2 linked regions of the Arabidopsis thaliana genome follow. The protein of the gene in region 2 interacts with the protein of the main gene of each other region in a pairwise test. Each region holds a gene or a part of one and is shown on either strand. Other genes may lie near its edges.

What was found.
Region 1: the proteins of EIP9 (region 2) and EMF1 interact in a two-hybrid assay, tested with the Arabidopsis thaliana proteins (one study listed by BioGRID).

Annotation. Positions count from the first base shown.
Region 1 is NC_003076.8:3,693,936-3,697,862, forward strand, and holds the start of EMF1 (embryonic flower 1 (EMF1)), read left to right. Parts: upstream 1-1,856; 5' UTR 1,857-2,230; exon of another isoform or gene 2,231-2,477; intron 2,478-3,123; 5' UTR 3,124-3,204; coding exon 3,205-3,299; intron 3,300-3,411; coding exon 3,412-3,587; intron 3,588-3,667; coding exon 3,668-3,787; intron 3,788-3,866; coding exon 3,867-3,920; intron 3,921-3,927. UniProt on the Arabidopsis thaliana protein: Transcription repressor that regulates phase transition during shoot, flower and seeds development. Controls leaves development, shoot architecture and flowering by delaying both the vegetative to reproductive transition and flower initiation.
Region 2 is NC_003076.8:25,736,386-25,740,312, reverse strand, and holds the start of EIP9 (Chaperone DnaJ-domain superfamily protein), read left to right. Parts: upstream 1-1,636; 5' UTR 1,637-1,710; coding exon 1,711-3,105; 3' UTR 3,106-3,109; exon of another isoform or gene 3,110-3,422; 3' UTR 3,423-3,927. Other genes in the region: BETA-UP (beta-ureidopropionase), read right to left, coding at 44-271, 366-554, 650-757, 939-1,049.

The sequences.
Region 1 (3,927 bases), about 22 Mb from region 2:
TTGGTTGAAGATAGGTTCCGTTCCGCCCTTAATATATCTTATACAAAAAGATAAGATCATTACGAATATGTGCTCAATTCCTTTTCCATAAAGTTGGGTATTAAATTATGAATATTATCTAGAAATTTTAGAGGGGTGTATATAGTGTGCTATTTTCGTGATAAAAGTAAATAATGCATCCAAAATTCAAAGTGGATCATTAACACGTTTTGGTATATACATCACAATTTGTCAAACCCGTAATTAATTGCGCCAAACAAGAAAAAATGATCTTATGGGGCAAAAGTAAATCACATATATGGCAGTGGGAAGAAAAAAGGAGATTATATTTTTCCCCTAAAATAGACTAAAGTAACAAACCTAAATTTCTCTGGAAAGAATTATATCATAAAACCTCGAAGCCGACAAAAACTAAGAAAAAAAAAAACAATTTACCGAAGAAAGAATATTATTAAAAAATACAGGAACAAGGAGAGAGAAATGTGTTATAAAGGATAAAGCCCACTAAAGGTCATTCACTTATCTAACTGTATACTATTATTTTCTTCGAGGCAATATATAAAATTTACTTGATCTAGTAATTTATTTTCACTAAGGTTTAGTATTCTTATACATTTGTATAATAGTTAACACAACTTAACGATACTTACTTCTAATATGTATCAACACGTACGTACAGAGCCACGTAAAGAAAAAAAACACACACACAATCGCTGTCGAACAGTTAAATCCCGAATCTAGATTTGTATTAGTTATCTAATCGTATTATTGTTAATTCCGAAAGTAGAGTCAACATCCAATTAATTGCTTTATCAAATATCGAATATGCAAAAGGTCTAAAGAAAAACAAAGTTTTTTTTTGTTGTTAAACTTTGCTTACATCATAGGTATCCCATTAGGTTGGTGTACCATGTGATGATTCTACCACCGAAAAAACAGAAGCCAATATTAAAAAATACATCTATATAGTACATGTACAATAACAATAATTAAGGATTATTGTATTATATTTTAAGAAAAAAACTAAATAGGGTTATGTGAACCAGACTTTTTTTAACACTTTTACTGTGGTAAACTTTGGAAAGGGAAAAAAGAGTGTTAGGGTTAATATATGTATATATAATTCATTTATTGGGGAAATGGGCTCATCTAGGGTAACATCACCTACCCATACAATTTTATCATGCTTTTAGGGCTTTTATTTATCTCACTGGTCCCTCAATTCCTCCACTCTCTCTTCCCTTCGCGTGAACAACACGCTCCAATGTCTCCCCTTCGTATGTGCCGACGCTCCTTACCTCTCCGCGCCACGGACGAAACGTGCCCACACGCGAAAAGTAAACGCCGTGACATCCACGCGCCTAGGGTTTTCTTTTCATCAGGACACAAGTGAAAAATGGGTTGTGATAAGAACCGCACATTGCGGCCACGTGGTTAATTCTCATTGGTTTCTTGTGCCCCATCCTATCACACACAAAAACGTCTAATACGATTTAAATAAAAATCGGGTTCTTTCCTAATATAAAGAAAAACACTGAGATCTTTTACTTAATCTTGTTGTTTAATTTCTGGATACTGTTCCCCTAAGCCAGCTATTTTCTACTAATGCTCAGATTTCTTTCTTAACTAAACATATGCATAAAATTTTCTCCTTTTATTCACTTTTGACAGATACAGAGATACAAAGAACAGATACAGAGATGTACAAATACAGATACGTGTACACAATAGAAGTAAAAAGATACGTAACTTTGTTTCGTGTAATTGGAAATAGGCAGACCAGATGGTGACATGGCATTGTCATGTTCCATAGATGAGTTGTTCTTTTTTTAATATAAAATTATTACAATAAATTAATAAAAAGATTATTTTATTGAAATTAAAACCCTTATATCGACGCAAAGCCAAACAAAAAAAAAACCCTCATTTCAAGGATAAGAGAGCTCCACTTTCTCTCTCCTCTCCTTTCTCCAACAGTCTCTCTCTACAAGCCATAGGAAAAAAAAAAAAGTCCCCCTTTCTCTCTCCCTCCCCTTTCGTCTTAGGGTTTCTCGAAAATTCGCAGTCAAATTCTACTCATCTCCCGACGAATCCATCCTTCAAGCTCATCTAATCTTCTTCTCCGTAGCTTTCTCAATCTACCGATATAGTTTTTATCCCTTGCCGCTTAAGATCGAGCTCGAATCTCGCAACCCCTTTTAATCCCTAATTTCTGGTCGGATTAACCCAGGTGCGTTGTTTCCGACATGAATCTCAGATGTGTTTCGATTTAAGGTTTGAGCTAAGGTTTGATCTTGTTGGGTTGAGATTTGGTCTGACTTGTAGCTGACTTCGTGTCTTTTAAGCTTCACTGTTCATTTATACGTCTATCTTCCTCGGAAACTCTTGATGTTCTTACTTTTTTTTTTTTTTTTTTTTTTTGGGGTTTCGTCTTCACGGACTATTCACGTGCGGATAGATCTGACCCGTATTAATTGGTGGGTCTTGGTTAATCTTTGTTAATCACATACGGTTAATTTAAGTGGTTTATTATCTTTTAATTTTGTTCTAATTTTGATTTTAAACCCTAAATTACGCTGATTAATAATTTGACCTTTCTTGGGTTTTGTAATTCCGAAATTATATTGAATCTGGTCCGATCTTCTTTTTTCTTTTGCTGGTCATGTAGATAAGGTTACAGCTTTGGGGTTTCTCGTCTGTCTGAAAAACCCTAATTTTAGGTCGTCTAAGTTTAGGTTTACTTACATGTTAATTGTTAAATGTATAAAATTCACTTGCACGATTAATTTTTTGTTATATTAGCGTAATTGAATTGAGATGCTAGTATAGAATTTCATTCTTGATTTTATGTAGACCTTAGGGTTTAATTTTTTTTTATTTGCCGTGTAATTGTGAAGTTTGATGTTGGTTATGAATGTTATTTTATGTGGGATATTCATGTGAAATGCTTTAACACTATGTTATAGATTAGTTATATTTATTGCTTGAATAAATTTAGAGTTATATTTGGTGTCGTATATATGGAAAGTTAAGATTTATGTCTTGATATACAACAATAATGTGATCATTAAGCACAATTATACGATGTGTTATATAACTTGTTTTGATGTGTTGCTTTTGTAGCTCTAGTTGCGGAGAGAGTATAATGGTGTATGAAAGTTAATCATCACTGAGGCATAGTATCTATCTCCTTCAAGCAAATCAATGGGATCTTCCATCAAGATCAACTCAATATCCATAGATCTCGCAGGTGCTGCCAACGAGATTGATATGGTGAAATGTGATCATTTTTCCATGCGGTGAGTATAGTTTGTTGACCTTATATCATCAACCTCTCTTGCTAGAGTATGTTTATATAGTAGCAAGCTACAAGATGAAATGACATGAATAACCAGTTTTTCTTCTCTGCAGTGGATTCGTAGCTGAAACTCGTGAGAGAGACCTTAGAAAATGTTGGCCGTTTTCAGAAGAGAGTGTTAGTTTAGTAGACCAACAAAGCTATACTCTTCCTACTTTATCTGTTCCAAAGTTTAGATGGTGGCATTGTATGAGCTGCATCAAAGATATAGATGCTCATGGGCCAAAAGGTATATCACATTTCCAATATTGTTTTTTATGTGTCTAAAGACGTGTCTACTTGAACTTATGCATTTTGAGTTGCTTGCAGATTGTGGACTGCATTCAAACTCAAAAGCTATTGGAAACTCTTCTGTTATCGAAAGTAAAAGCAAGTTCAATTCGCTAACTATCATTGATCACGAGAAAGAAAAGAAAACTGATATTGCAGGTATGCATCTGCTGAGTCTTGGTTCAGTTTCATAATCCATAGCAAAATCTTAATCATTTTGTATTATCATGTTTTTCAGATAATGCTATTGAGGAGAAAGTGGGTGTAAACTGTGAGAATGATGATCAGACAGGTAAAGT
Region 2 (3,927 bases):
GAGAAAAGACAGAGCAACAAAAGACGTGTTAGCACAAATATACCTTTCGATGCTTGCCAATGATATTTCCATTATTCCCTATAATCACAGCGGTATTCCAAAGCACTTCACCGTGATCAATATCTCTTTCGAGAATAGGACTAACAATCACCATGTTATACTTTTTAGCGAGTTCTTGAAGAAACTTTGTCGATTCGCCATCAACAGGCTCTGCAAACTCACACCATCTCCTCTCCCTAGTGCAAAATGCAAATGGCATGGTCCAAGCTTCCTATCGATAAAACCATTCATTCCCCCCCAAAGAAAAGGTCAAAAACAATTGAAGTAACAACTTTTCAATAAAAGAAAGCAAATGGAGGCAAAACCTGCAAGCACAGTATGTTAACACCAGCAACACCCGCAGCATCGATTATCGGCTTCAACTTGTCGAATATTCCTCTTGTTTGGTCCGAGAATGGAGCAGTGGTTGGAAGAGCAATGGAGTTTTGAATGAGACCAACTCTGACCACTCGAGGATTTCTCATTTGCTCTTTATCAGCTGAAAAGCTAGCAGCCTAGACAATATTTATACAAAGATCAAATCAAATCAAAACATTGTCTCAATCTATTAAGTTCAATGATCTGATCCTATAACTAACGAAGTATAAACCTGGAGATCAAAATCATGTTTTGAAGACAAGGCTTTAGCAGACTCCGGCAGAACAATCTGTTCAAGCGATCTCCCACAGTTACGTCCAAGGAGCAACCGGTTTACCTCCTGCAAATCCAATCATCAACAATCCATATTTTTTAAAGCTGATCAACATAACTAAAATAAACACTTGAAACCACTAGAACAAAAGATCCATAATATCATCATTCGAATTAGACAGGCTAATCAAAAGCGAGATCAAACACACTAGAAGAGTAATTTAGTTTGGAGGGAGTGGATACGTCACCTGATAGAGCTCGGGCTTAAGATTCGCTGATAAGAGTTGATGCAGCGAATCATAGCCGCAAATCGATCCTTCGGCACTTGTTTCTCCGTTTTCTGATATCATATGATCCATTTTTTCACGAGTCTTTTTCGATCACGAAACCAAGATGGCGATGACTTTTATGACAACAGTGATCGATCGGTTTGGTCAATTGATTACGAATTATTTTCTGGGAATCGGAATGTAATATTTTATTTTAGTTAGGCTGTCCAGACCTAAAGCCCACCAGATTATATTTTAATTCTTAAAAGAATTATTGGGCTTTACAACATCCTAAAAAGCATCTGTATTGGTGGTTTTTCGTTCAAATCTCTCATCTACAAAAATAAAAATAAAATAGTAAATAATGTTTTTTTTAATTAAAAAAATCTCTCAGTAAAGATGAGTGAGTCTCTCATTTGAGAGATTACAAGAAACTTTTCCAATTGTTTAGAGAAACTGTCCTAAGAGAATAATATTACATCTTATTTTATTAATATTTTTTGTAAGTGAAAAATTTAGAAAAAAGTGTTCCGGCCCATTGACGATCCATCACATTGCACATATTATATAAAATGAAAAGGACCAAAATGCCATTGACGATCCATCATGTTGTTGTTCCGGCCCATTGACGATCCATCATGTTTTCGTCCTTTTAATTTTTAGATCTGTATTTACTCTTTACCGATAAAATAATAAATAAATTCAACGGGGAGAGAGGAAAAACGAAAGGGAACAAAAAGAAATAGGGGATATGGTAGGCGGACGCGGCGGAGTTGGCGGTGGTGGTGGTAACAGAGTGGAGGCGGATCAGTGGCTTGTAACATCGGAGAAGCTTCTAGCGTCTAGTGATCTTCAAGGAGCAAAGACATTTGCGATCCGCGCATGCGAAGCTGACCCGACCCGAGCAGAAGCTGCAGACTACATCCTCGCAATCTGCGACATTCTTCTCGCCGGAGAGACTCGTTTAGGTGATTCCAACTTGCCAGACTGGTACGCCGTTCTCCGACTCGGTCGTTTAGCTCAAAACCCTGAACACGTCGCGACTCAGTACCGTAGACTCGCTCTTCTCCTCAATCCTTCCGTTAATCGTCTCCCATTCGCCGATCGAGCTCTTAAAATCGTCTCCGATGCTTGGTTCGTTCTCTCTGATCCGTTCAAGAAATCATTCTACGACCGAGAATTGCAACTTAGTCAACTCGGTCAATCTGGATTCCATCCTCAAACCCAATCGCATCAAAATTTCCAGTGGGAACCTAGCAGTAGCACCGCCGTATATCCGCCACCGCGGTCTCAGAGCCAGGCTGGGACCTCGGCGGATCCTATGGCGACGAGCTTCTGGACCGCTTGCCCTTACTGCTTTGTACTCTTTGAGTACCCTAAGGCTTACGAAGAATGTACTTTGAAATGTCAAGAATGTAGAAGAGCGTTTCAAGCTGTGACGATACCAAAACCTCCGGTGGATAAGAAAGACGACGAAGACGTTTACTTTTGCTCATGGGCTTTGTTTCCATTGGGGTTTTCCGGTGAATTTCAAGCTCCAAGTTGGTCACCTATTTCACCTCTCTTTGCCTGTCCTCTGCAAAAGTTGGATGGTGAACCAAAGAAGAGAAAGGAACCGGGTCCTCCTAGGATTTACTATGACGATGATGACATTTATGTTGCGATTTCGGATGGAGATGACGCTGGTGATGATGGTGATTGGCAAGATGTGGTACAAGTGAATAAGAAGACGAATGTTGGGAAAGGGAAAGAAACATATGTGAGAAGTAACAAGAAACATGGAGTTGAAGAAGTCCAAAATGTAGAAAGTATCAGTAGTGCTAGCAATCACGCGGTTTCAATTGCTTCAAATGCTGCGGCTGTTGGGTCTTCAACTGGGGTTATGTCTAAACCAGGGAGTTATATTACTAGAAAACGAATGGGAACAGGCGCTAAGAACCTGGGGAGGTTGGATTTGAATGTGGAGTTTAGTAATGAAGTGGAAGAGCCTGGTGTGGCAGGTGGGGGAAATGCAGGCAATGGGATCGGAAGTAACAGGGAGGTAGATAATATGGAAGGGATTGGGTTCTTTGAGGGACTTGATGAATTCTTGAATAGTTTGCCCATACTTTCTGTTGTTGGAGATGATAAGATCAAGGCTACTTAGTGAAGTAAGGCTTTTTCCTCTCTTTGTTTAGGTTGCGGGTGTTTCGTTGTTGTAGGCCTTAGCTTTTATGTTTCCTGTTGATGTTTAACTGTAGTGGAAATACTAGCATTTTGATTCCTTGGAATCCCTGTAGTTGGAATCTGTTGATGTTATTTTGCTCAAAATTCGGATGCTTTCGTCGCTTTCTGGTATATAGTCTTCTGCTTCTGAGTTCTGAGTAAAGGCATTAAGATTATCTTTCTCGGGTTTATTAGACTATAAAACCTTACTAGCCAAATGCCTTATCTAAAGTAAAGTGAGTTACTTATCCTGCTCAGGTTTCATTTTGTTCCAAAAGAATTATGTTCCTCCAACTCAAAAGGCCATAGAGCAGCAAATTGCAAAACATAGGTGGTTTCCATGTCGTAATTGCTGCTTCTGTTCATTCACTAGATAACTTGTTGTGTTCTGGACTGACAAACGAAGAGGGAAAGTGACAACACACATTGCTTGCTTCATTCATCCTTGATGCTTTGAAAGGTAAGGAAAACAAGTAAGCTTTTTGTCAAGAATTTCTTGCTGGGGTCTAAGGTAAAGACCTAAACGGCTATGTAGAGTTTTTTTTGTGTAGTCATAGTAGCTAGGTATTCTCACTTACCTGTAATGAGTATTCTGCAGAATCTAGAAGATACAGAAGCTATCCAAGAGGTGATTCGTGCACGTTATCTGGCTTTTATACGCTCCAGTTGCGCAGTGAAGGTTCCATTGTCTGTTCATAAAAGCTTGTTTAAGACATTAATGATGGAACTGTTTAGCCGTTTAGGCTCTAAACATGATATCTAC